7 linked regions of the Bombyx mori genome follow. The protein of the gene in region 1 purifies or fractionates together with the protein of each later gene. This does not show direct contact. Links are inferred from orthologs where the notes say so. Each region holds a gene or a part of one and is shown in the gene's direction. Other genes may lie near its edges.

Evidence for each region.
Region 2: the proteins of eIF4AIII (region 1) and serine/arginine-rich splicing factor 1A fractionate together in Homo sapiens (co-fractionation; 4 studies listed by BioGRID and IntAct, with this or other methods). This does not show direct contact. The link is inferred for Bombyx mori from reciprocal best matches to the Homo sapiens genes EIF4A3 and SRSF1.
Region 3: the proteins of eIF4AIII (region 1) and nuclear cap-binding protein subunit 1 purify together in Homo sapiens (co-immunoprecipitation; 3 studies listed by BioGRID and IntAct, with this or other methods). This does not show direct contact. The link is inferred for Bombyx mori from reciprocal best matches to the Homo sapiens genes EIF4A3 and NCBP1.
Region 4: the proteins of eIF4AIII (region 1) and histone deacetylase complex subunit SAP18 fractionate together in Homo sapiens (co-fractionation; 3 studies listed by BioGRID and IntAct, with this or other methods). This does not show direct contact. The link is inferred for Bombyx mori from reciprocal best matches to the Homo sapiens genes EIF4A3 and SAP18.
Region 5: the proteins of eIF4AIII (region 1) and ribonucleic acid binding protein S1 fractionate together in Homo sapiens (co-fractionation; 3 studies listed by BioGRID and IntAct, with this or other methods). This does not show direct contact. The link is inferred for Bombyx mori from reciprocal best matches to the Homo sapiens genes EIF4A3 and RNPS1.
Region 6: the proteins of eIF4AIII (region 1) and cell division cycle 5-like protein purify together in Homo sapiens (affinity purification with mass spectrometry; 3 studies listed by BioGRID and IntAct, with this or other methods). This does not show direct contact. The link is inferred for Bombyx mori from reciprocal best matches to the Homo sapiens genes EIF4A3 and CDC5L.
Region 7: the proteins of eIF4AIII (region 1) and serine/arginine repetitive matrix protein 1 purify together in Homo sapiens (affinity purification with mass spectrometry; 3 studies listed by BioGRID and IntAct, with this or other methods). This does not show direct contact. The link is inferred for Bombyx mori from reciprocal best matches to the Homo sapiens genes EIF4A3 and SRRM1.

The regions. Positions count from the first base shown.
Region 1 is NC_085131.1:3,885,419-3,889,583, forward strand, and holds the start of eIF4AIII (eukaryotic initiation factor 4A-III), read left to right. Parts: upstream 1-1,365; 5' UTR 1,366-1,486; coding exon 1,487-1,637; intron 1,638-1,922; coding exon 1,923-2,258; intron 2,259-2,595; coding exon 2,596-2,818; intron 2,819-3,686; coding exon 3,687-3,941; intron 3,942-4,165. UniProt on the Homo sapiens protein: ATP-dependent RNA helicase. Involved in pre-mRNA splicing as component of the spliceosome. Core component of the splicing-dependent multiprotein exon junction complex (EJC) deposited at splice junctions on mRNAs.
Region 2 is NC_085122.1:429,901-434,128, reverse strand, and holds the start of serine/arginine-rich splicing factor 1A, read left to right. Parts: upstream 1-1,428; 5' UTR 1,429-1,647; coding exon 1,648-1,826; intron 1,827-2,569; coding exon 2,570-2,933; intron 2,934-3,827; coding exon 3,828-3,904; intron 3,905-4,228. UniProt on the Homo sapiens protein: Plays a role in preventing exon skipping, ensuring the accuracy of splicing and regulating alternative splicing.
Region 3 is NC_085127.1:11,154,228-11,158,230, forward strand, and holds the start of nuclear cap-binding protein subunit 1, read left to right. Parts: upstream 1-1,203; 5' UTR 1,204-1,555; coding exon 1,556-1,595; intron 1,596-1,681; coding exon 1,682-2,463; intron 2,464-2,914; coding exon 2,915-3,333; intron 3,334-3,630; coding exon 3,631-3,768; intron 3,769-3,998; coding exon 3,999-4,003. UniProt on the Homo sapiens protein: Component of the cap-binding complex (CBC), which binds cotranscriptionally to the 5'-cap of pre-mRNAs and is involved in various processes such as pre-mRNA splicing, translation regulation, nonsense-mediated mRNA decay, RNA-mediated gene silencing (RNAi) by microRNAs (miRNAs) and mRNA export.
Region 4 is NC_085129.1:7,373,308-7,376,197, reverse strand, and holds histone deacetylase complex subunit SAP18, read left to right. Parts: upstream 1-1,296; 5' UTR 1,297-1,544; coding exon 1,545-1,619; intron 1,620-1,954; coding exon 1,955-2,359; 3' UTR 2,360-2,390; downstream 2,391-2,890. UniProt on the Homo sapiens protein: Component of the SIN3-repressing complex. Enhances the ability of SIN3-HDAC1-mediated transcriptional repression. When tethered to the promoter, it can direct the formation of a repressive complex to core histone proteins.
Region 5 is NC_085114.1:7,346,484-7,350,673, forward strand, and holds the start of ribonucleic acid binding protein S1, read left to right. Parts: upstream 1-1,390; 5' UTR 1,391-1,560; coding exon 1,561-1,562; intron 1,563-1,647; coding exon 1,648-1,758; intron 1,759-2,024; coding exon 2,025-2,159; intron 2,160-3,403; coding exon 3,404-3,550; intron 3,551-3,644; coding exon 3,645-3,886; intron 3,887-4,190. UniProt on the Homo sapiens protein: Part of pre- and post-splicing multiprotein mRNP complexes. Auxiliary component of the splicing-dependent multiprotein exon junction complex (EJC) deposited at splice junction on mRNAs.
Region 6 is NC_085115.1:11,711,888-11,716,082, forward strand, and holds the start of cell division cycle 5-like protein, read left to right. Parts: upstream 1-1,395; 5' UTR 1,396-1,653; coding exon 1,654-1,698; intron 1,699-1,781; coding exon 1,782-2,047; intron 2,048-2,572; coding exon 2,573-2,703; intron 2,704-3,279; coding exon 3,280-3,439; intron 3,440-3,652; coding exon 3,653-3,821; intron 3,822-4,009; coding exon 4,010-4,144; intron 4,145-4,195.
Region 7 is NC_085128.1:8,258,078-8,261,577, forward strand, and holds part of serine/arginine repetitive matrix protein 1, read left to right. Parts: coding exon 1-114; intron 115-1,169; coding exon 1,170-1,264; intron 1,265-3,500. UniProt on the Homo sapiens protein: Part of pre- and post-splicing multiprotein mRNP complexes. As a component of the minor spliceosome, involved in the splicing of U12-type introns in pre-mRNAs. Involved in numerous pre-mRNA processing events.

The DNA.
Region 1 (4,165 bases):
ACTACTGATTTCAACAATAAGCAAAGTGACTGCAAAGGAAAGAAATCTGATTTGCTCACTGTTTAAAATTTTAAATTCATACCCCTACGTAGGAATTTTATCATCAATCGAACCCGCGACACAATTTATTGAAAAGCTGTTGGTTTCAGTATACAGTTCATTCACACCCAGCATCCATTTTGATTCGTTCAAAATCAAATACGGTCGTTCTTTTGGCCACAAATTAAAACGAAATTCCTTCGACCAGTTCGACCTCTGAACGAATGCGTTGTTAATTGCGTTTTGTTTCGACCCAGTCGAAAAAATGTTTAGATCTCAAATTAATCTTGTAAAGCACAGTTAACAATTTCAACAGTTAAATTATAGAATCATATAATACATGTATTTTTAAAATTTGTAGCCGCATTATATCTTTTGCTGGTTACGCTCTAAAACTTTCTTTTTTTAACGTTTCTTCTTTCGCGTTTTGTATCACGTTTTTTTTACTTTGTGTATAATCTATAGCCGTTTTATTTCTTTTCCATTTTAGATTGTTACCTGTGACTCTTGAAACCACAGACTATCTACAAATCAACATTATTAATTTATTTTAGTAAGGGGTTTCGTCAGTAGCTATGAGCCCCCGCGTCGTCGCCTTTCAGTACTATAAACAATCACATTATTTTCGGATGAGTTCTTACCATCACTCCGGTTATCGCGGCTTAAGAATACATGAATAAATAATAATTAAAAAAAACTAAAATACACGTTTTTATAGAAAATCGTGAGATGCGCGGCGTCAATAGTTTAAATATTTTATTGACAGAAATTGCTAGCTAAGTCTTATCATTTTGATAATCTCATAAAAAGCATCCCACGCTTTTTTTTAAATAAATTTATTGTGATGTGTGGGAAGTAACGTTGTTGCACACTACATTATTTTCCATTTTTTAGTTGGATTTTCTATAAAAACATGTATTTTAGTTTTTTTAAACTATTATGTATTTTTCATTTTTTAGTTTACTTATTATCTATCATAAATTATTCTTTAATGTGCATTCAGGCAAATAAAACAGTTTCCAAATTTTCTAAGTGAAGAAAAGAAGGCGCAAAAATTAATTTGTTGTTTTGACTGCCGAAATTAAATAACGAGTCTACTGTTTAAAATATTGAATTATCATCGGTCCTTAATACCTAAGTATGCCAAATTTCAAGTTAATCTGACATTTTGAAGGTGGTCAAAATCATATTCAAAGATTCCGTTACATACCTACATAGGTATGGAGCTAATAAAAGCGTAATAATCACTTAATAGTCTATGGATCTTATGTATGAAATGTATTATCTATCTTATGGAATTAAATTCATTATCTATGGTGTTATCTATGGTTATGGACACAGTTTCTTAAGTTTCCCTTTAGTAATTTAGAAATTCAGATTCTAAGAGATTTTCACCTATCGTATAACTTGTTATTTTAAAAACTTAGAAGCGAACTAGATTCGAAAAATGACATCGTCTGAAGTATCGTCCAATAGAAAAATATTGTCGGAAGATTTGTCGAATGTTGAGTTCGACACGAGTGAAGATGTCGAAGTTATTCCCACTTTTGACTCCATGGGACTTCGAGATGAGTTATTGCGAGGAATATACACATATGGTTAGTACAAATTGTGGTGTTATTTATAATTATTACAACTGCCTACATAAACGATCATGTGGGCATTATCTTACCAGCTTTAGACCGTATTATGGTCGTCCGTCTGTCAGACTGTCGTCCTGTTTTTTCGCAACAGTTCTGCGTTCCGGCTTCGAAGAGTGACATACTAATTTACAATACATTTAAAATCAATCGCACTGTTAAACCTTGGGGGCTGGTAGATTCCGTATTGTGGTGTATGTGGGGTCCGGTAACCACTTAGTAATAACTAACGTTAATTTACAGGTTTCGAAAAACCTTCAGCAATTCAGCAGAGAAGCATCTTGCCTATAGTCAAAGGCAGAGATGTAATAGCTCAAGCACAATCTGGTACAGGAAAGACTGCGACATTCTCAATTTCAATACTACAGACTTTAGACACGACTCTGCGTGAAACTCAAGTACTTATTCTTTCACCGACCCGTGAACTGGCTACTCAGATTCAGAAAGTGATATTAGCTCTTGGAGATTTCATGAACGTTCAATGTCATGCTTGTATTGGAGGTACCAATCTTGGAGAAGATATAAGGAAATTGGATTACGGACAGCATGTTGTGTCTGGCACACCTGGCAGAGTTTTTGGTAAATAAATGAAAATTGCTAATCCAAGTAAATAAGTACTAATTGTTTTAGTTTCCAAAACCAAAGATAAACCTTCTGTGATCTTTTTTGTTATCTGGCTGGTTCACCTTTTTTATTTCTTGAAAGTAGTAACTTAACTTCCACTTCTCAAATTCACCAACAGTACTACTCACTACAGTAGTCTCACCACAAACCCATGTGTATGGTTTCAGGCATCTCAGAACAGGGATGGTGTCTATAAATTGTCATCCTTGTGCAATAATTGAAAAAGTTAAATAATCTATCCACTGCAAGATGTAGGGTGCCCTAGATTATAAGAAAACAATCTTATTTTCAGATATGATCAGAAGGCGTGTGTTGAGAACCCGGTCAATAAAGATGCTGGTTCTTGATGAGGCTGATGAGATGTTGAACAAAGGTTTCAAAGAGCAAATTTATGATGTATACCGCTATCTGCCTCCTGCAACTCAGGTTGTGCTAATATCAGCAACACTACCCCATGAGATATTGGAAATGACATCAAAGTTTATGACTGATCCAATAAGGATATTAGTAAAACGGTTTGTATGATTATTTCAAAAATACACATTAAAGTTCGAATTCTGCAGGCAAGTACTAATTTTTCTAATGAAATACGTACTTCACAATTGTTCACGATTAACTTCCATAGTGAAGGAATAACATCTTATAATAAAAATCAAACATGTAAAATTATAATTTGCGTAATTACTGGTGGTAGGTGGTAGGAATGTCTTGTAAGTCCGCACGGGTAGGTACCACGATCCTGTCTATTTTTGCTGGGACGCAGTAATGTGTTTTGGTTTGAACGGTGGGTCAGCTGTTGTACTGTAAAATGCGAGACACTAGAACTCATGTCATTTTATTTTTTTAGTGTCCTTGTAGGCAGACTAGCATACCACCCACCTGATGGTGAGTGGTGACAATCGCCCATGGAATTCAGTACAGCAAAGCTGTTCTAGGTGTCTATGGACTCTGGTAACCACTTAACACCATTAACACCGTGGGCCTTGAACTCATCCACCCACTAAGTTAAATGAAATATTTGTTTTATATTGCCCTTGAAGGAATTTGTCCACCTGATAGTGAGTGATTACTGCCGCCTATGGACACTAGTGACGCTAAGGGTTATTTGCCTGATATCTCATTTGAATAAAATTATGTCACAGTACTCAGGAAACACTAGAGGAGATTTAGATTAAGAAAAGAAGTTACATTAAGTGTAGAAAACTATCTGTTTTATTTTAGCATTATCAACTATACTATTTCTAGGATGAAGCTTATTTCTGTATGGACTATCATTTTGTTAATTGCTCAACACATAAACCTATGCAAGCTAAATAGTAATTAAGTAAACAAATTTTCTATCATGGTAAATGTATTTGAAATTAAGAATCATTTTTTCTACAGTGATGAGTTGACACTGGAGGGTATCAAACAGTTCTTCGTGGCAGTTGAACGAGAAGAATGGAAGTTTGACACACTTTGTGACCTCTATGATACACTGACAATTACCCAAGCAGTAATATTTTGTAATACAAAGAGGAAGGTTGACTGGCTCACACAGAAGATGCAAGAGGCAAACTTCACTGTCAGTTCAATGCATGGTGACATGCCACAGAAAGAGAGAGACAACATTATGAAGGAATTTCGTTCTGGTCAAAGGTAATGGAAATTCTATTAAAATAAAAACAATACGATCTTGAAGACTTTTAGTTTTCAAGATCTAAATGTGAATGGTTTCGAATTTCGTGAACTAATATCACTAGTGATTTAATATGAAAAATACAATTGCTCTTTTTTTTTTAATGTAAACGAGATATGGATCACCTTTACAGACAGCATTTATGTAATAATGCCTCTGGGCTTTTGTTGAGTGTTGGATGGGC
Region 2 (4,228 bases), on another chromosome or scaffold:
TCTCCCCTTTGTCGTATATCTCTACAAACTGGTGACCTGCGACGAAACCATTGCAGCCTTCACACTTCATCATCAGCGCATCAAGAACTTCGGCTACCACAATTCTCGCAGATAAAAGCAAGTCATCGACAGTAGTCCCACAGCAAGCCAGCATCGCAGCCTCGATAGGACCATCGCAGCTGACTCACCGCGCTTCCTGCTCCTACGGCACGCACCTACACTGCCTCATCACGCAGCATTCAAGCTCAGTCTCGACTCACCGCAGACTACGAGCAGCACTAGCGACAATCACGCAGCAATTCAAGCTCAGCCTCGACTCACCGCAGGCTTCGAGCAGCACTGGCCCTTGCAAGCTAATCTCAGCATGGACAACGCTAACTAAAAATGACACGACCTCCAGTCTCGGAGGGGAGTGATGTGGCGGGTAGCCATCATACAACGCAAGATAATTGACAGATGTCTGAATCTCGCTTACGACATTTTCAAGTTAAAGCGCATATATACAAGTTCCGAACAACAGCATTCGGACCGTCGGTCTACCGAGCAATATCACCAGCTCGATGGAAGATCTTCCCTCGGTCGTTAAGCTTCCCCTACACTAATTTCACCAGGACAGTTAGGTGAGCAAAAGCGCAGCCAGGAGGGGTGGGATTACTTAACAGCTGCCCGAGCGCCTCCGAAGGAGACTTATCAACTCAAGAGTAGCTGCTTTGACAGCTGATCCGACGAGAAACTCAGCGGGCTGATACATAGATTAGGTTGCACGTCGAACTCTTTGTCGAGTTCTATGAGTACGGTTACCGGGGTCCCTGAGCCTGCTACTAGTGTTAGAGCTGAAGGCTTCTAATGCAAAGGTTATTGGATCTGATGGATCCGTAAGGACGTGTCTAGGGCATCAACGGTGACTGGCTCCTGCATGATTAGAATTCGAGGAGTAATCAACGGTGGCACCAATAAGGCGATTATCATGACGCATAGCCTTATTGTATTATTTATTTTATTTTATTTTATTTAATCCATTCAAGAAGATGACACCTTAAGCACAAGTTCAAGTACAAGTTCTCTAGTAAGTTCCTACCTGATTTTATATGGGAAAACCCATACTTTAATGTTACTAACATAACTCGAAACTGCCAATATTGATCAGCCTATATATTAATTTCCATTTAACAAAAGTGAAGGGCAGCGGGCTCGAAATTAGAAAGACCTATAAAACACGCTATAGGTACTGATTTCGACACAGAAACTTCCGGACAAGCAGGAAAGAATGATAAGTGTCCTGATCCTGATATCACCAAAAGCAAACTACATTTCAGATTAATTATTCAATTTTATGGTGTTTAGTTTTAAAATGTGCCGGACGACTACATACACATCTTTGTATAAATCCTTTCACACGGACTTTTGTAAAAATTATACAGCCACATATTTATAATCTATGACCAGGTTTTTCCACTTCCGTTTTCATGATTATCGTTTTCTTTTCTGTCAAATCCACCGTGATCCAAAATCGGAACATTGACATTTGACGCCATATTGCCCGACTTTCAATTACACACAGTAAAGCGTCGGATTGGTGAAATTAGTCGATGAAGCCAACATAATAATAAGTAAACGTTTAAGCAATAGTAATATTCTTTAGCTATAATGTCGGGTGGAAGCAGTAGCAACAGAAATGAGTGTCGTATATATGTTGGAAACTTACCACCGGACATAAGGACAAAGGATATTCAAGACTTGTTTTACAAGTTCGGAAAAGTAACGTTCGTTGACCTAAAGAACAGAAAAGGTCCGCCATTCGCGTTCGTGGAATTTGAGGATCCCAGGTGAGTGTTGAATTCGAAAAGAGAAACGGGCTATCTATATTACTAACGTTGTCCATGTCTGAGTAGCGATAATCATCCCGTGTCAGGTGGACGGAATGTTCAGCTGCCTTTGAAGAAGATTTAAAAGAGCGCATACGTTATGCCGCATACACCGCTATCTGTACCCGACTATAGCGAAATGAACAATTTTATTCAGCGTTAATATAATTTTCCACACCACAGATACAGATACAGATTAAGTAAACATTTTTACTGATAAATGAAAATGGGACTTTAAATTAACAATTAATCATTTATTATTTTATGATTAATTGACAACTAATTAGTTTAAAAGTTGGCACATATTAAAATATATGAAGGGTGGCACAGATTTAATAGTCTGCCAGAGCACCTGTATCCATAAATCTAATAATATTCACCTATGATTTCTAATTATTTCAGAAAAATTAAAATCAATAAAATTTGCTGATTATTGCCAATTATATAAAATTATAACACACATATAAACACACAACATATTAAATTAAAATTACACAATGAGTGATGTCAAAACTGTGTGTGATTGGTTCTTTTATTAGATATGTCCACTTCATGGTGAGTTGTTACTGTCACTAATGAACGTCAAGAATACCAGGTGCACAGCTCAGAGCCTGCCTTGTTTCACTCCTAGTAGAATATACAGTCATATCTACCTAAATTAATCTGAGACAAGTTATTTTAATAAAATCTATTTTGGAATTCAGAGATGCAGATGATGCAGTAAGAGCCAGGGATGGTTACGACTATGATGGGTACCGTCTTCGAGTCGAGTTCCCTCGTGGAGGTGGAGGTGGAGGCTCTCGTGGTTCTCGAGGCGGTGGTGACCGTTGGGGTGGACGAGGGGCAGCACGTGGTCCGCCCGCTCGACGCTCTGAATACCGCGTGCTCGTTACCGGCTTACCGCCCTCGGGTTCCTGGCAGGACCTCAAAGACCATATGCGAGAGGCCGGCGACGTATGCTTTGCAGACACCTTTAAAGATGGATCTGGTGTTGTGGAATTTTTGAGGCATGAAGATATGAAGTATGCTGTTAAAAAGTTAGATGATTCTAGATTTAGGAGTCATGAGGTTAGTTTCTTCCACTTTATTTGAAAATAATTATAAACATAACCTGTAATGTGAAAGAACAGTACTGTTGGTGGATTGTCCCAAATTTTTTATCATTGTTACCCAACGTGGACATAAAAGTTTCAAGATAATCAATTGTGTCAAATACTTTTATAGTTTAATTTGAATTAGTTAGAAGTTTAAGGCTCATGAAGGAGAAATTAAACCATGGGATAGTGCTTAAACTGTTCATTTACAAATAGCTGCTCAAAATCAACAACTGTTATTTTGTGTCAAACTCAGTAGATATCTATAATGTCCAAAATTGCATTCTGTAAAACTCAAGTAAATAAAGTAAGCAAAACAAACTTTTGAATTCTTTAGCTAGGTTGGACTAAGCTGTCTCCTTTTTCTGATTATTTGCAATACCAGTTTTTTTTTTTTTTTTTTTCAATGTTTTTTTCTGCCCATACTTGTTACCAATTTGTTTACTGAATTATAAAAAATGAGATTGTCCTTTCAACATACAGTTAAATATTTTTTTTAAAAAACAATTCACTTGTCAATTATGGTAAAGTAATTTCAGTTTGAGAAAAACTGATATGAGATTGAAAAGAACAAATGGAATGTAAAATGAGATGTGAGGCAACAAAACATCATCTCAGCTTAAGTAAACTGAGTTTGCTTTCATATTGATATTACAAAAGAAATTTGAACCATGGATCAAATTTGAACCATACTTTCTTAATCTTGATATTACAGACCTTATGGTCATAGATGATGAAGATTATAAAATGAATGAAAAGAAAGCTATATTACACTGTAAAAGCGTTTTACAATCAACTCAAGAAATTTAAAAAGCAAGCAGTGTCATGTAGTGCAAGATTTAGACGTCTATTAAATATTCATTTCCAGGGTGAGGTGACATATATACGTGTGAAGGAAGACTATGGCGGTGGCGGCGGTGGCGGTGGTGGCGGCGGCGGTGACAGGTACCACTACATACCATTACTACATTAACTGACTACTATATCATTTAATTGGCCAAATATATTGATTAAACTAGCTGACCCGGCAGACTTCGTAGTGCCTCAATCGATAAATAAAAGACCTAACTATTGTATAAAATAAACTTAAAACAAACAAAAGGAATCCGTCCAACGGGGGACACATCAAAGGAAAAACAAAATTTTATTTTACCTTTTAAACGTCTGGACTTCCACAAATAATTCAAGACCAAAATTAGCCAAATCGGTCCAACCGTTCTCGAGTTTTAGCGAGACTAACAAACAGCAATTCATTTTTATATATATCGA
Region 3 (4,003 bases), on another chromosome or scaffold:
GACAGTGGATTTTTTAGTTGCTACAATCCCATCTCAGCTCATTTTATTTAGTGTCATCCCAATTTATTACAGTCTAAATCAATTTCACCTTATTACGCACCATATCATTTTTTAAAAAATAGTTAATAAAAGATAGGCTGTAATGATGTTTCATGAAGACCTTTGGGAAATGAACTCTACTGTCAGTTACTGAAAGAAAAAGTCCTGACAGTTGACAACTTGACACGATATTTCAAGATTGTCACTTTGTCGTACAGTTGCCAGATGGGGGGGAATTCCTGCAAATTCGGGGGTTTTTTGACCTTGAAGATGAGATTCGGCGGGGAAGATTCTTTAGGGGACATTTGGGGGGAAAAAGGTAGTTGGGAGAAATTTCGGAGGTTTTTTGAGCACTATATAATTCATCCACAAACACAATTCCCATCACTATTAGAATATTTATAATCTACTATACGTATTATGCACAAAACAATATTATAAAGGAAAAATTACGCAACCGGATGAATAGGCAATAGAAACTGTCGAAGCGGTTCTCGAGATTCAATATTCACTGCCATAAGGATCCATAAATTTTGTTCCCACATCGGACATGTAAGATTTTTAATCTTTAACTCCGAAAACGTGTATTCTTTATATAATAAAAACGAAAGTGAATATGATTGTAAAAAATTTTTTAGAGGTGGTTGAAGTTATGGGATAGCTTGATTAAAAAATAAAAAAGATGTGGTGTCGTGGGACACCAGGTAGGAACGAAGTTCCTTGGGCTAATGTAGAATCGACACAATTTGCAAAAAAAGAAATGGTGCTCAATTTTATGTAGGTTTTCTTGGTTTTTCTCTTAAATTTTGCTGATTAGTTTTTATTTAAGCACGGGAAAGTATTTAGGAAATTGAGTATTTTAGAAAATAATAAATTACGTAAAATAAAAAAAATAGTAATTCAAATTATCAATTAAAATAACAAAATATATCTCTTTATTTTTGGTTGACAACATAAAATTACATAGAAATAGAAATAATTACTAAATAGAGAGAGAAGGGATTAGAGAACGAAAAGTAAGAAGGAGAAAGAGAAAGGTATATACACTACTCGCTTGTGTATGCGACTGTCGCGCCTGCGCACGTCTCATTTAACGGTTTTATTCCACGCACTTTTTTCCACGGATTTTTTCTTACGGTTTTACTATCACATTTTTTTCAGTTCGGTCGCGCAGCAAAATCCCTATCCCCTCCAAGCTTGCCGTAAGGAACTTCGTTCCAATAAAAGAATACTTTTGTATTTTATTTCTTCATTAAATTAAGTAAAAGCTGTTTTGGTTTTTTTTTTCAAAAAGCTTATTTTTCGGGGGGTTTTAAAAAAAAGTTGGAGGGAAATTCACACGGTCATCTGACAGCACTGCTTTGTCGCAAGATTTCGGAGTTGAAGACATTGAAAATTTATTCAAAGCTTGTTGAGTTTGCTATCGTTTTTTCTGTTCTAAACGTAAAATACGATTTCGTAAACAAAAGCATAAAGAGAAAAGTCAAAGATTTGTGATACGCACAGTGATTTTATTATGAACCGTCGTAGAGGACATGATGATGAAGAAGGATATGGTGAGTTGTTAAGATCAAACATATACAGGTTATATTTAATTTTATTTGTACATTGTGAAGTATGTAATTGTTTTTACTATTTTCAGAACGCCTCCATCGGAAAAGGCGTCGTGTATCTGAAAACCAAGAAATCGAGGATCGCTTAGAGTCCTTAATTTTAAGAGTTGGCGAAAAAAGTAGTTCCAGTTTGGAGAGTAACCTAGAAGGATTAGCAAGTGTACTGGAAGCCGATTTGAGTACCTTTAGAGTTAAAATACTACGGATACTAACGGATTGTGCTATCCGCATGCCCGAGAAATGTACAATCTATGCAACTCTTGTTGGTTTGTTGAATGCAAAGAATTATAACTTTGGTGGAGAATTTGTTGATTACATAGTAAAAACCTTTAAAGAAAATCTTAAAGTCGGGAAATGGAATGCTGCTAGGTATTGTCTAAGGTTCATTGCGGACTTGGTGAACTGTCACGTATTGGCTGCTTCATCATTGCTGACTTTATTAGAGACATTAGTAGATTCTGCTAATGAAGATGGAGTACCTCACGTCAGAAGGGATTGGTTTGTATTTGCGGTGCTGTCAGCATTACCTTGGGTTGGTCGGGAGTTGTATGAAAAGAAGGAATCTCAATTAGATCACTTACTTGTGACTATAGAGGTTTTCTTGAATAAACGGAGTAAGAAACATTGGCCAGCCTTAAAGGTGTGGTCGGCTGATTCACCTCATTTACAAGAAGAATATTTGGATTGCCTCTGGTCTCAGATAAAGAAGTTGAAACAAGACAATTGGTCAGAGAAACATATTCCAAGGCCATATCTTGCCTTTGACTCTATTCTTTGTGAAGCTTTACAACACACACTTCCTGCCATTCAGGTATCATATGAATTTATAATAGATATACTATGATTTTCTAATACAAATTAGTTAAAGTTTACATACTTTGGTTTTGTTCGATTATGGTATTCGATTATGGTATTTATATGGTTCATTACCACCAAAGTACAGTTTACTAGTTATATCTGGAGCTGCCCACTTCTAGTGCATTTTATTTAATTTACCTTACACACACTTTGGAACTAGAAGTAACTTGCCCTGTGGAAGTTCGAGGCTTGAAGAACATGTGTTTCTTCAAGCAAAGGTTGCAGACTAATTTATTTCAGCTTGTGTGCCAGGGGTGCCATAAATAAATGTTACATGTAAAGATTGACTAATAAATGCGGTAACAAAACTAATAAAAAGTTAACTTTTTTTAAAAAGTTGCACCAATATAATATTTTCGTTTACAAATCATATGGTAATAATTGATGATGTTTTTATATTTCAGCCACCACCCCATAATGACACTGATACTTATCCAATGCCTCGGGTTATATTCCGTATGTTTGACTACACAGACTGTCCAGACGGACCAGTTTTGCCTGGAGTGCACTCTATAGAGAGATTCTTGATAGAAGAACATTTGCACAATATTATTGAGACATATCATTTAGAACGTAAAGAATGTGCTGCTCAACTCCTCTGCTTTCCTTACAAAGCCAAAATTCCTCTGGAATATTGCATAGTTGAGGTGATATTTGCTGAATTATTTAATTTGCCAAAACCAAGGTATTTGGAGATATGTTATGGTTCAATATTAATTGAACTTTGCAAGCTTCAGCCATCAACAATGCCACAGGTTCTAGCTCAAGCTACTGAAATTTTGTTCATGAGGATTGACACCATGAATGTTGCTTGCTTTGACAGGTATGTTAACCTTGGATGAAATTTGAATACATTGATAGTTTCATTTTAATTTTGTGGACTCAAGACACTTACACCTTATCTTTTAATTTATATTTTTCTTTAAATGTATGTATGTGCATGTGTATAGCTATGGGATAATTAATGAACAATATAAAATTTTATTTTGGGGTTTTCTGTTCAAGCATATTTCACAAAATGATACAATGTTGAATAGAAGAATGTTGTTATCTTAAATATCACTTAAAGAAGATTACAGTTGAATAGTAAATAATATTTTAAAGTAGTCTTTTTTTTAAGGTTTGCGAACTGGTTTGCCTACCATTTGAGCAACTTCCAGTACAGATGGTCATGGGAAGATTGGGAGGCGTGTCTCCAATTAGATCCTGAACATCCAAAACCCAGGTTTATCAGAGAGGTCCTCGGAAAATGTCTAAGGCAAGTTTATGAAAGTTTCCCTTATATATTCTATGCTAACATTTTGCGAACATGACAATAATAATATAATAAACATATAAGTGAATTTCAATATTATATTAACAAAAACACGAAAATAAAATATATTTCTAGTAAATTAAAAACTAAAATTTGATGTCTCAAAGCTGTTTTTATATCGACAATTTACAATTAATAGTGATAATATGAAATACTTATTTGTGATTTTTCAGGCTAT
Region 4 (2,890 bases), on another chromosome or scaffold:
TCGGGATCTTCCAAAAAGTCCACTGAAAAAGTCTCAGTAAATGACCACCATTTTACTGAGATTATGCTTCATCCCATATCATCTCATCTCATGTCATTTCATTTCGTTTTCATTTCACTTTAGGTTTCATTATAATCAACTTCATTTTATTTCATAATATCATTTTCATTTAAAAAAGTTACGTATCATTAAAATTAAAATAATACTTGACCTAAAGGTCTTAGTTACCAGGTCATAAAAGCCCTTCAAAAAAAAAATCATTTATCATCAGAAATTGTTTAAAGGTACCGTAAAATGGGGCGATTAGGGACAAATTCCAACTTTATGATCAATTTTAAGGTAGTTGTTGATGTATATAATGCTATATCAGGATCAAAATGATTGAGTCTTGGGGGCATCTTTGTTGTCTAATTTAAAATTATGGAACTAGCATTCCAGTTTAAGCAAAAAATGCAAAAATAGGTGTAATCCCTATTTACCCGAAAATTGCGGTTAATTGGGACGAAATGAGAAATTTGCTAGGGTTGGCACTACTTTTATTTTTATATATAGTTTTAATTTATTTATTTATTTAGTTGCACCAACAAAGTGATCATCAATAAAAAAAATTGAAAAACTGACAAAAGTACATGGCAGACATCACCTCAATTATAGGTGCAATCGACAGTGCTGATATTTCTATCTGGGTTAAGAGATTAGGTGTGTCGGTTATTCCATGGATTAATCAGATGAATACCCCCACTCTGAACAAATATTAAATATTTTATTATGTATTACTTAGACATTTTTGTCCACCTTGAGATTTCATTGATCTTGTTACATGTCTCTCCAAAATTGACTTACTTATATTAAATTGCTTATCTATTTCAAATAAAGACTTATTCCCAATTTCGCTTCGAATAAACCAGATTTTTACCAACAAATTTAAAAAATATTGTTATAACTACATAGACAACCCTACAAACCTGTACCTATTTATACTTAGTTCGTTTCCATTTCACGTATTCTCATCCCAATTGACCCCTTTTTCGTTGTTATTTGTACCTAAGCCGTCCCCAATATCCCCAAAACAACAGATTTTTACATGTATTTTTATTTAATCAAATACATTAAAACCAATAACAACTGAGACTTACCTTTAATATATATGCTGGTTCAAACACTAAATAACGTTTATAAATCATAGTCGTTTTCTATTATTATCAAATAAATAAAAGAGAGCAAAGTTTCTAGCACTAAAATAATTACCACCACAGGAAGTTAATTTGAAACGCGATTTTTTATAAGTTAGCAGCTATTATCATGCATATTCAGAGTTGTTTTGTGAACTTTCAACATTCTACTATTAAACTACAAAAAATGGAAGATTTTGCAACGAATATAAAACTTATATTGAGCGTCGAAAGATTTTCCCAGTTTTTTCCCGATTCGCCTCTCAATCCCTAATCGCCCCATTTTACCGGTACATGTATTTAAAGACTCGCATAATTTAAATAATTACTTAAGTTGGAAAAATTAAGTAGGACCACAATTCTCCAAATATTATGAAAATGGCGGGATTAGAATCAATGGTAGTTGAAGAAATTAAACCGACAGAAAAACCGGTGGACAGAGAAAAGGTACTTTGTTAAACAATATAATTGATTATTTTTTACTATAAACAGCATTTACTTTAAATTAATGTTCGCCAACTGATTTTAATTTGACCATAATAATCAACAGAACATTCAAATCCGTTGTGTCTACTAAAGCACTCTGTTCTTTTTTGTTTCGTAATTGACATTTTTTCTTGTAAATGTGAGATATAAAGTAACAATCTATTTGTTTTCGATAACACTAAAGCTCGTTCATTAGGATTATAAATAAAACACAATAATTGAATTGACAGAGGAGGAAATTTGTTATGCTTTTTCCTGATTATATAGAGATATAAATTTAACCTAAAATGTTTCAGACCTGTCCTCTATTGCTCCGTGTGTTTTGTTCAACTGGCCGACATAATTCTCCTGGAGACTATGTTAGAGGAAACGTACCTCAGAATGAATTACAAATATATACATGGATGGATGCTACACTGCGAGAACTTACAGGACTTGTAAAAGAAGTTAATCCTGAGACGAGACGGAAAGGCACATACTTTGATTTTGCCATTGTGTATCCTGATATGCGTTCCCCTACATATCGTATGAGGGAAATAGGAGTTACATGTTCCGGACAGAGAGGAGGCGATGATAACAAGACACTTTCACAACTGAAATTTCAAATTGGGAACTATCTAGACATCTCAATAACACCCCCAAACAGAATGCCACCACCAATGAGGCGTCCACAACCATATATTAATAATCGTCAGTACTGATAATTAAGTTTAATAAAAGAATGTGTATCAACTGTGTTCTTTCACTTGATTTAAAGGGTGAAGTTGGATTTCATTAAATTACTATTATAAAGGGGAACACCCACTCTCCATAGTGTTCTGGGCCCAAGATGGACATCAAATATTACTATAAAAATGGACTGTTTCTTAAATATATTGGATATCTAAAAAATATATTGAAATTGACACCACTATTATAAAAATAAAATAAAATAAAAAAATCGTTTTGAGGTTTATTTTCTATATAAATAAGTGTTGGATTATGAGTTACTTCAAGAACTTTTCTTTTATTAATGTTTAATTTATTAATTATGATAAGGGAGATGTTCCTAATGTAATTTTATCCAATTGTAGTTATTAGGGTATAAAAAACACATGTTTTTCTAAATATCTATGTTTTCTTCATCTTCATACACAATTAATAAATCATCTAAAAATAGCGCAGGAGGGCATATCCACGGTTATGAGTCTCGTTCAGTTTAAAACCACAATTCACACTATGTCTTAGTCGTA
Region 5 (4,190 bases), on another chromosome or scaffold:
AGTGATGAAATAGATGTTTTTTTTCTAATTGTCTTACAACTTCAAAAATCTGTCACAGATAATTTCCCAAGCAAATATAAATTAATCATAAGTAATTAAATGTAATCAAGTTTTAGTTATTTTTTTTTTTTTTTTTTGTCAATGCATTATCGATTGCACCTAAATTCATGCCATCTGCCGTGTACTTTTGTCAGTTTTTCAATGTTTTTATTGATGATCACTTTGTTATTGCAACTAAATAAAATAATTGATTAAAATCAAGGAGTGCAAGCTCTAGCTAATTTCTGGGTAAATAGGGATAGCACCTATTTTTGCTTTCTTAGCTTAAACTCGAATGCTAATTGCATAGCTTTAAATTGGATAACAAAGATACCCCCAAGACTCAATCATTTTGATCCTGATATAGCATTTTAAACATCAACAACTACCTTAAAATTGTTCATCAAGTTGGAATTTGTCCCTAACCACCCCGTTTTACCAGTACATACTGTTCTATGGATTTTTCTATAATTTCTACGGACTTTTTGGCGGGAATGCGAGGAGTGAAGTTGTGTGATTTGTTTTATTTTGTCTATTTAGTGTTTCTTCGGGTTTAAATGTGTAATAATGGTGGTTTATTAACCGTTTAATATCTGTGAAAGTGCACAAATGTGGGAAAATGAAACAAAGCCGCTGGACGTAACTTCTCGGGATCCTCCAAAAAGTCCATTGAAAAAATCTTAGTAAATGACCACCATTTTACTGAGATTAGATTTCATCTCATATCATCTCATTTAATTTCATCCCAGTTGATTAATGTCTCAAATTAATCATTTTCATTTCATTTCACTCCATAATATCATTTTTCATAAAATTAAGAATATACATTAAAATAAGATATGACTTAAAGGTCTCAGTTACCAGGTCATAAAATCTCTAAAAATATAATTTCTACAGGACTTTTTGGCGGGAACGCGAGGAGTGAAGTTGTGTGATTTATTTTATTTTGTCTATTTAATGTTTTTTCGGGTTTAAATGTGTAATAATGGTGGTTTATTAACTGTTTAATATCTTTCATTTTCCCTCATAATATAAATGAGGGAAAATAAAAGAAAGCCGCTGGACGTAACTTCTCAGGATCCTCCAAAAAGTCCACGGAAAAAGTCTTAGTAAATGACCACCATTTTACTGAGATTATATTTCATCCCATATCATCTCATTTCATTTCATTTAATTTCATCCCAGTTGATTGATGTCAATGTCAAATTAATCATCTTCATTTCATTTCACTTCATAATATCATTTTTCATAAAAATATGAATATAAATTAAAATAAGACATGCCTTAAAGGTCTCAGTTACCAGGTCATAAAATCCCTTAAAAACTAAATAATTTCTACACAATCTGTAATTGACAACTGATCTGTATTAACATAGATAATATCTATGCATAGATTATACACTTAATATTATCTATGAACTGATCGTGGTCGGCAAATGACGCTATCGGATTTCGAAGACGACATTGTTTTACTAAGGTTTTACATTCATGAAACGTAAATAAAAACATAGTAGGTTGAAAATGTAAGTGTTTCCTCAACTTATTCTATAAAAATTCTACTATTGTACATTTAGAGAGGCCCGTTAACATGTTTCATTTCAATACCAGGGCTAGAAATAAATCGCCTTTGCCTGCAGCTGAGAAAGAGAAGAAGAAACCCAAAGAAAGCAAGAAAAAGAAAGGTGACTCAGGCTCCAGCAGCAGTGATAGTAGTGGAAGGTATCCCAACTAATGTATTATTAAGATTTGTAACACAATTCTTTGGAGGTTATGTTAAAAGCGGGCTTTCTTTCTTCAACGGAAGTTATAATAAGAAATAGTCAACTTACTATACACTACTAGAAAAACCAAATAGATACAAAAAACCCACGCAAATTGTTAATATCTTGCTGAAGTGATTATTGGTACAAACTAAATAATGAAAGTACATAAGCCTTATCCTGGGAGTTACTTTCTCAACCAATATAATTTAAATCTATTTTCAGTTCATCAAGTAGTTCTTCAAGGTCATCCTCTCGGTCATCATCCAGTAGCTCAGGAAGTTCATCACGTTCATCTTCATCATCCAGCTCATCTAGCAGTAGCAGCAGTAACAATGGCCGTTCAAGGCCTAAGAAAAAGTAAGCTTAAAATTATAAGATAAGGATTAATATAATTATTATTAAACAATCTGCAATTTCTTAAGCCAAAGCGAAGTTTTTATTCAGTACTAGCTGAACCGGCAGACATCGTAAACCAAAATTAGCCAAATCAGTCCAACTGTTCTCGAGTTTTAGCGAGACTAACGAACACCAATTCATTATAGATGTTCATATTTTGTTAAATTTTGATAATATTATGGGGGGCACTCCATACAATCCTGCAATAAGGTTGAAGGTCAGATAGATCTTTAATAAGTTACAGTATATGCTGAGTAGACCATCAAAATGTAGAGCAAATCAGGTTTTTAGAAAAAGCCATCTGCTTTATATGTTAGCTAAATATGTTATGATACATTCTGTACTGAAGGAATAGGGCGTAGTTATAGTTCTTCAATCTCATGTTTCGAGGTGAATGACTGCATCAATATTGTGATATGTAAGGGCTCCATTAACACTAGATGGCCACAATCCTATCCACATCTAATGGAAAAATATTGCACTGGTAGGTTGTTATTGAAACAATCAATAACAATATTGAACAGTAGGTATTTAAACAGTACTTAATTTAACTAAAACAATATTTAATTTTCTATAATTTAGTAGAAATCTGAAAGTGATTACTCCTAAGCCCATAATAGGTCTTCTTTTTTCTACAATATGATATCTGATTCAGGAAATATAATATTCATGTAATAACCTGATATATGAGTCGTCTATTATCAAAGGCGGCAATCTGTGCATTTGGACAAAAAAAAATTATTGATATGTCAATACAGATTGATTTGAATATAATCGTCTTCTTCAAAGAATACGGTTCAAAACCTGCATTAAATAAAGGTTAATACTTAACCTGTTATTTATCTAAGATGTCGATCGGAAGAGTTTTGTGACTGCCAATGGAATACAAAGTCAATAATTTGTTTTCTGATTTACCAATAATTATCCAAAAGTCACATTGCCGGCTTTGATAATAGTTGACTCATATATAGTTTTCTTTATAATGCAGGGACGGAAAGCCACAAGTAAATTATTAATTTATTTCATGATCATTACAGTACTAATTAAAAGAGAAAAAAATACAATCAGAATTGAAACACTATTTGATAAAATAATAATTTGAAGTCAATGAAATTGATCAAAGCTTTTAAAATGTTTTTTTTTTATGTTTGGGCATCATGCATGTTAAGATTGCTAACCTGACCATACATTTTCTTTATTTTTAGAACAATTTCACCAAACAAGAGTCCACTTAAAGATCGTCGTGATGCTGATCGGGAGAAGATTAGAGATAGATCACCAACAGGAGAAAAAAAAAAATCTGTGTTACCTTTATCAAATGACAAAGCTAAAATTAAGGAAAAACAGGAACGGTACAAAACAGTTATTATTTTAAATTATAGCCTTAATACGCCATATTATGGCCCCTGGTAAAATAATAATAAGAATTTCTTTTTTTCTCTTCAGATCTCCAGGACGTAAGAAGCGAGAACGCTCACCACCACCACGACCAACTCGTATCCACATTGGACGACTGACTTTAAATGTAACGCGTGATCACATCCATGAAATATTTTCGACATATGGTACTGTGAAATCAATTGAGTTTCCTATGGACCGACTTCACCCACATAATGGAAGAGGATACGCATATGTTGAGTTTAATAATGCTGATGAAGCAGAAAATGCTATGAAGCACATGGACGGGGGTAACCAACTTAACACTTATCTTTTAACTTTAACCCTTAATATTTTTCTCCCTGTAGGGAAGTTTAATATTAAGTATGTGTTGGGGATGCACTGGAACAAATTCTCTATTTTATGTCTGCAAATTCAAATCTTTACCATGGAGCTTTTGTTGATTTTAATTCTTTATTGGTCACCAAAAAAATTCAGTCTGACTTGCACAAACCGGTAAAGATGTGACGAAAATTAGCATGGCATGGTCGCAAACGGACTACATGGCGGCAGGAGATAACAAATGTCTCCCAGATTCTAGACCTTGGCCCAAGA
Region 6 (4,195 bases), on another chromosome or scaffold:
AGATGTTCTCGTATTTCTCTTGCTAAATCAAAAGAATGGAAAGCAGTCGACATCACCCCAAACACGTCATTTCGGATCCTCCCGATCCACTAACGGTGCTTTTAGGTACCTCAAGCACCGATCACCGTTCCCGTCGAACCCGTCGCTTGCGAGGAAGGGCTCGTCGAGTAAATTAACCCTCAGACACAGCCCACTGAGTTTCTCGCCGGATCTTCTCAGTGGGTTGCGTTTCCGATCCGGTGGTAGATTCTGCGAAGCACGGCTCTTGCTAGAGTTCGTGTTAGCAACGTCGTCAGATTTGAGCCCCGTGAGTTCACCTACTAGTTAAGGTTCTGCTGAAATAGCCTCGCAAGGCTATCAGCTTAGGTAGGAAAAAAAAAGCTAAATCATACTTACCTGGCGTAGGGATACCGTGATTATGCAGGCGGTTTCCACAGGGTGAGGCTGCTCCATTGCACTGCGGGTTGGTTGATTCTTGCGATTATTTTAATTTTTATAAGTTTCACTTCTACCGTGTCACACGTAATGTGTGTGACATGCACACACACATTTTTTTCTTCTGATTTTTCTCATGATGGCTTTTTTTTTCTTTTTTTTTTTGGCTTAGATGGTTGGACGAGCTCACAGCCCACCTGGTGTTAAGTGGTTACTGGAGCCCATAGACATCCACAACGTAAATGCGCCACCCACCTTGAGATACAAGTTCTAAGGTCTCGAGTATAGTTACAACGGCTGCCCAGCCCTTCAAACTGAAACGCATTACTGCTTCAGGGCAGAAATAGACAGGGCGGAGGTACCTACCCGTGCGGATTCACAAGAGGTCCTAACACCAGTAATTACGCAAATTATAATTATGCGGCTTTTATTTTTATTACACGATGTTATTCCTTCACCGTGGAAGTCAATCGTGAACATTTGTTGAGTACGTATTTCTTTAGAAAAATTGGTACCCGCCTGAGATTTGAACACCGGTGCATCGCTCAACACGAATGCACTGGACGTCTTATCCTTTAGGCGACGACGACTTCATATGAGAAAACTTGGGGCAGTTGTGTCATTATTTTTGAGTGCGGTTCTAGAAATGTTATGTAGGGTTACGGTTCCAAAGTTTAAATGAACAAAAATAACAAAAATTAACCACAATAACCGAAAAATGGTTAAAGTTTGACCAAATTTCTAGGTTTTTAATGGCCATAATTTCCAAACTGGATGGGATAGATTTTTTTTCTGATTTTTCTCATGATGGTTACAATCAATCCTGTCACCCCGTTTCGGCTTGACGTTGAGTTCTCACACACCCTGTATAGTTTAACAAATAAGATATGACCTAAAGGTCTATGTTACGTTAGGTCATAAAATAAAAAATATATATATTGAAATTTTTATTTTACCTATATCTTGTGTATGTATTGTCTATGGATTAAAGGCTATATGGGCTTAGATCCCCTTGCCTTTCCTAATAAGGAAAATTTGTACAAAAAAAAATGTCGATGGATTATAGAATTTAGATTTCATTGATTTATCCTTACATCTCAATTTATTAAATTTTCGCTAAATGGAGACGTTTTAATGAAAATTATTGCATATTTAAGTAGTAGTTATTCAAATTTAATTGATTTCATTTATTTATAAGCTGAATAAACACTATCCAACATGCCCCGGATTATGATAAAAGGTGGCGTTTGGCGCAACACCGAGGTTTGTTATTTTACTATTTTGTATTCTTTATTAATACTTTCTTATGATTCCTTAATACTAATGTTATTTGTGTGTCACTTTAGGATGAAATCCTTAAAGCGGCTGTAATGAAATATGGGAAAAATCAGTGGTCTCGTATAGCTTCGTTGCTCCATCGTAAATCTGCAAAACAATGTAAAGCCCGTTGGTACGAGTGGTTAGATCCAAGTATAAAGAAAACAGAATGGTCCCGAGAAGAGGACGAGAAGTTGTTGCACTTGGCCAAATTGATGCCAACTCAGTGGAGGACCATTGCTCCTATCATCGGACGTACTGCTGCACAATGTTTGGAAAGATACGAATATTTGTTGTAAGTAATTAATTATCTTGTTAAGTTTGAGTTCCTTGTATCTAATAAAACAGAGTAAAGTAGTTAGGTTTGGTTTCAATCACTCACATAGGTATCTGAAAAAGTTGCTTTGGTGTTAGCATCAATAATTAATCACACTAAACAAATCAGGCAACAGTAAGCAAGATAGATAGTGTAGAACTAGAGATCTGAATTGACCATCTTGTAGTTTGTGTGATGATTAAATACAATTATTTTAATATTCTAAATAGACAGATGGGGTTCATAGACATCATAATGTGAATGTGACTGCCATACAGCTTTAGAAATAATGTGGAAATCAATTGTTTTATGCAACGGCTATCTCGCTTTTCAAGTTTAAAGCATTCTTCTTTCAAGCATATTTTCCAGTTTAAAAATGCTGGATCTTCGGCAAATGGAACAGAAATGGAACAAAAACACAGGTTCACAACACAATCTGTCAGACCACAGATGCTTATCTATGAATATTATAAAATTCTGTAAACTCCTTTAATTCTCATCTAGAGACCAAGCCCAAAAGAAAGAGGAAGGTGAGGACATGGGTGATGATCCACGTAAGCTGAAGCCTGGTGAGATTGATCCTAATCCAGAAACAAAACCTGCTAGACCTGATCCAAAAGATATGGATGAAGATGGTAAGCAAATCATATTTGAAAAATCATTTAGTCTTTTAGTTATGAATTCAGTTAATAATGTGAATTTAGGTTAGAGTTCACTGTATAGTTTAGTATATTTTTGCATAATTGAAAACACAGAATGTAAAAAGAACCATTAGCTCTTAAAAATGAAGACAAGTTAGTGATAGTTATGAATTCCAAGTATGTTGATGATGCACTTCATGCTGATTTCAACAACAGCAACAAGTTTTTACATCGTCCCATAAGTGATATACTCATTTTAGCTGTATATCTTTAAGAATGTATGTGTGAACAACATCAGAAGTTTACACGTGCTGTGTTTCATTTTTGTGTCACAATGATCTTTTTCCTTCAAATTTATAAAAATGAAGACTAGATAAAAAATTATTGTTGATCACGATATAATTTTGGCTTTAAGAGTGATACTTTTACACCAGCTAGAGAGGCCATTTAGAAAATGTACACTATAGACTTTGAGGGTAAAGAACGAGTGCTGTACATGTACTTCACAGCCAAAGCTTAGAATTGTATTGTTTCATGATTTTTGATTATAATTTTATTCTTGATAACTAGAATTGGAGATGCTCTCAGAAGCTCGTGCACGTTTAGCTAACACTCAGGGTAAGAAAGCTAAAAGGAAGGCTCGTGAAAAGCAATTAGAAGAGGCCCGTCGTCTTGCTGCACTACAGAAGCGAAGGGAACTCAGTGCTGCTGGGATAGCTGTACCATTAAGGTTTAAAAACACAATAAGTTATATGTATATGAAATAGACAAAAAAAAGTAAATATTTTACATTCAATTGGTCGTGTAAAATTGAGTAACATTTTTATATTTTTTAAGATTGTCTTTGCATAGGCGGATGAACAAGCTGATAGCCTACTTGCTGTTATTATTATTATTATTTATAATAATATTATTATTAATATAATGCTTCATTGTTCCCCAGGCGTAAAAAAAAACGTGGCGTTGATTATAATGCTGAGATACCATTTGAAAAGAGACCAGCGTCTGGTTTCTATGACACTTCGACTGAAGTAGTTGATCCCATGGCTCCTGATTTCTCAAGACTCCGACAACAACACCTTGACGGTGAATTACATTCTGAGAAAGAGGAGGTTGGTTACATGTACTTAATTTATACTTAAAGTTGTTAAGTTAGGGAAGTAAGGAAGTAGGGAATATGAGATGCTGCTTCTATCTACATTTTTTTTATATTCATGTATATTTTTTCTACCTATCTATTCTGTGGTTAAAAATTATAAAGATTTTATTTTATTACAAAATTTTATTCTAATATTTTTAGAGAGAACGTCGCAAGGATAAGCAAAAGTTAAAACAACGCAAGGAAAATGATGTGCCACAAGCCATGCTACAAGGTGATGCTCCGGCAAGAAAACGCAGCAAACTTGTGCTGCCAGAGCCACAAGTTACTGATCAAGTATGTTATTTTTTAATTCCATCTATCAAAAGTAGATCTACTGTGATCATT
Region 7 (3,500 bases), on another chromosome or scaffold:
CAAGGACAAAGACAAGGAGCGACGGAGATCGAGGTCCCGGTCGCGTTCCCGGCGCCGCTCTCGCGACCGACGGCGCTCGCGAACTCGTTCTCGTGATCGTTCCAGTGACAGAAAGTTAGTAGTAGACGTATATTTTCCAGGTAGCAGCATCCATTGCTGGTGGTAGTAGGGGTGGATTGCACATGGATACTTAATACTATGCTGCCCATTTAATAATACAAAACAATAGTGTGCTTAGTTGAATAGCGGATCCTCTGAAATTAAACGCTTAAAATCATTAACAGAGTAACAGTCGCCGTTTATCACTATGCCCACATAGTGATAAGGAGTAAGCATTTGGAATATATTTTTGAGAATGTAAAGGTTGTCTGTCATACATATATTAAATTAGTAAAATTCGAGTTAGTCTATTCATGGAGTAAAATAGAATATAAAAGGGGTTACTACTGAAGAGCAGTAGAATCACCATGTGACTATTTTCTGTTGGTTGTGCACATTCGGAATTACATTTATTTATCGCCAGTCAACTGATTAATTAGGAGTAGTAGTAGTATATATTGTTTTATTAAAATTGCGTGTTGCTAATTAGTTACGATAATTACAAATATTTTTTAAATTGTGTTCTTGTACTGTTAATTGTTAAATAGCAAAATATATTCGTATGTATAATTTAATAAGAAAAAAAACTGTCAAAATCATAATTTTAGTTTTAACCTGGGAAATGGTTAAAGAGCTACCATTGATCTATCTCATTGCTGAGTATGAGTCACCACCCCCAACGTGGTACAAAATCGTCGCCCAAAACACGTCATGTCGGATCATCCCGTTCTACTAACGGAGCTTTTAGGTACTTCAAGCACCTGTCATCGTCTAACCCGTCGCTTGCGACGAAGGGCTCGGCGAGTAAATTAACCCATAGACACAGCTCACTGGGTTTCTCGCCGGATCTTCTCAGCGGGTCGCGTTTCCGATCCGGTGATAGTTTCTGCGAAGCACTGCTCTTACTAGGGTTAGGTTTGAGACCCCGTGAGCTCACCTACTTGTTAAGGTTACGCTGGTCTCTGAAGGTCATCAGCTTAGACAGGAAAAAAAAGGTACGAAATGTGGAGCGTGTAGCTGAGGATGATAGCTAGTTAGACATAAGATAATGACCATTAAAATTACTCTAGGCATCGTAACGGCGGAAGTCCGCGTCGATCGAGACGGCGCAGCAGCCCGATCAGAGACAAGGTCAGCCCTGCGAAAACTGAACCGGAAACCAAAGGTACTGTTAATGTAGACGTAAATAAAAATACAATGATAGTGATAATGTTAACATAATAAACTTGTTGGTGTGTTGTTTTCACTTAAATATGATTGTATTGTAAGATTTTGCTTCTGTTATCGTTGCGAAGTAAAATGTCTACATTATCTTTTGTTAACTGGTTATGGGGCGTATTGTAAGCCCGCACGGGTAGATACCACCATTCGGTGTATTTGTGCGGCAAACTAGTCCTGCGTTTCAGTTTGAAGGGTTGGATTGATGTTATACAATGCAATTACTCTTGGCGACTCATATTTACTGTGTTCATATATTATAACGAAATTGTATATTATAACAAAATTGAGACTTTTTTTTTTTTTTTTTTTTTTTTTTTATTGCCTTTGTAGGCAGACGGGCATACGGCCCACCTGATGGTGAGTGGTTACCGTCGCCCATGGACTTCAGCAATGCCAGGGGCAGAGCCAAGCCGCTGCCTACCGCTTAATACTCTCCACAAGCCTCGTTTGAAGAAGGACATGTCATAGCGCTCGGGAAACACCGCGGAGGGGAGCTCATTCCATAGCCGGATGGTACGTGGCAAAAAAGATCTCTGGAAACGCACTGTGGATGACCGCAGCGGCTCCAGGTAGTATGGATGAACTCTACTCCGGTGGCGGGCGGTGCGATGGTAAAAACGAGATGCTGGTATCATCTCGAACAATTCCTCAGAGCACTCCCCATGGAACATACGGTATAAAATACAGAGGGAACCGAAGTCCCTCCGCAAACCCAGAGGCTCCAAACGAACCGAGAGAATGGGATTATCGACAATCCGAACGGCCCTCCTCTGTATGGAGTCAAATGGAAGAAGCTGGTATTTGGGAGCCCCGGCCCAGAGATGAGAGCAGTACTCCACGCGAGGCCGGACTTGTGCTTTATAAAGCAAAAGTCTTTGTCCAGGCGTGAAGTACCGCTTCGCTCTGTTGAGGACTCCCAGCATTTTGGACGCCAACTTGGCTTTGCCTTCCAAATGACTCCGAAACTGGACATCGCTCGAAATGTCGACCCCAAGTATCCCGATACTCTCGGAAGGTTGCAGGGATACTCCTTGGAATTGCGGCGCCATGACAAAGGGGTCCTTCTTCGCAGTGAACGCGCAAACTTGTGTCTTTATCGGGTTGAATTGAACCAAGTTCAATTCACCCCATTCGGAGACTCGCCCCAGAGAGTTCTCCACTTCAGACACAAGTTTTGATCGTCTCTCTTGCACCACGCTCCGAGAGAGACTCTGATGGCCGATATATCGCGCATCCCCCGTGCTATCATCTGCATAGCAATGCATGCCATCAATAGACAGCATGTCATTGATATACAGGATGAAAAGCGTGGGGGAGAGCACCGAACCTTGTGGAACGCCAGCGTTAATGGTCATGGTATCAGAACAGTCACCGTCTACAACGACCGTGATGCTCCGCCCATCCAAAAAGCTAGCGATCCACTTGCAGAGACCCTCGGGGATTCCGTAAGATGGTAACTTCGATAGAAGTGCCCTATGCCAGACCCTGTCGAAGGCCTTCGCGATATCAAGGCTCACAGCGAGAGCCTCGCCCTTGCTCTCCAAGGCTTCAGCCCACCTGTGAGTAAGGTATACAAGAAGATCGCCAGCTGAGCGACCGTGACGGAAACCGTACTGTCGGTCACTGATCAGCTGGCGATCTTCAAGATACTTCAGGAGTTGTGTATTTATAATTCGCTCCATCACCTTGGAAAGCAAGGAAGTTATCGCGATAGGCCTGTAGCTCGATGGGTCCGACCGGTCACCCTTCTTGGGGATAGGGTGGACATGAGCAGTCTTCCATGAAGACGGAACCTTGTTAGTGCAATAAGAGAGGCGATACAAACGCGTTAGCGCAGGTGTCAGCTCAGGGGCGCACGTTTTCAAAACCACTGCGGGGATGCCGTCTGGCCCACTCGACTTATGAACGTCCAGGAGTCGGAGCTCCCGCCTGACTGCACACTGTGTGAAGCAGATATCCGGCAGGGAGCTATCACACCAGGGGATGCTCGGTGGTGTGGCACCCCCGTCGTCCATAGTCGAGTTCGAGGCGAAGAGTTTGACCAGAAGGTCAGCCTTCTCTTTCGCGCTGTGGGCCAGATTGTCATCGGACTTGCGCAGTGGTGGGAGACTAGACCTGCAAAAGTTTCCTTCTGCAGCTTTGGCGAGCGACCAAAAAGCACGGCTCCCGGAGGGATAGCT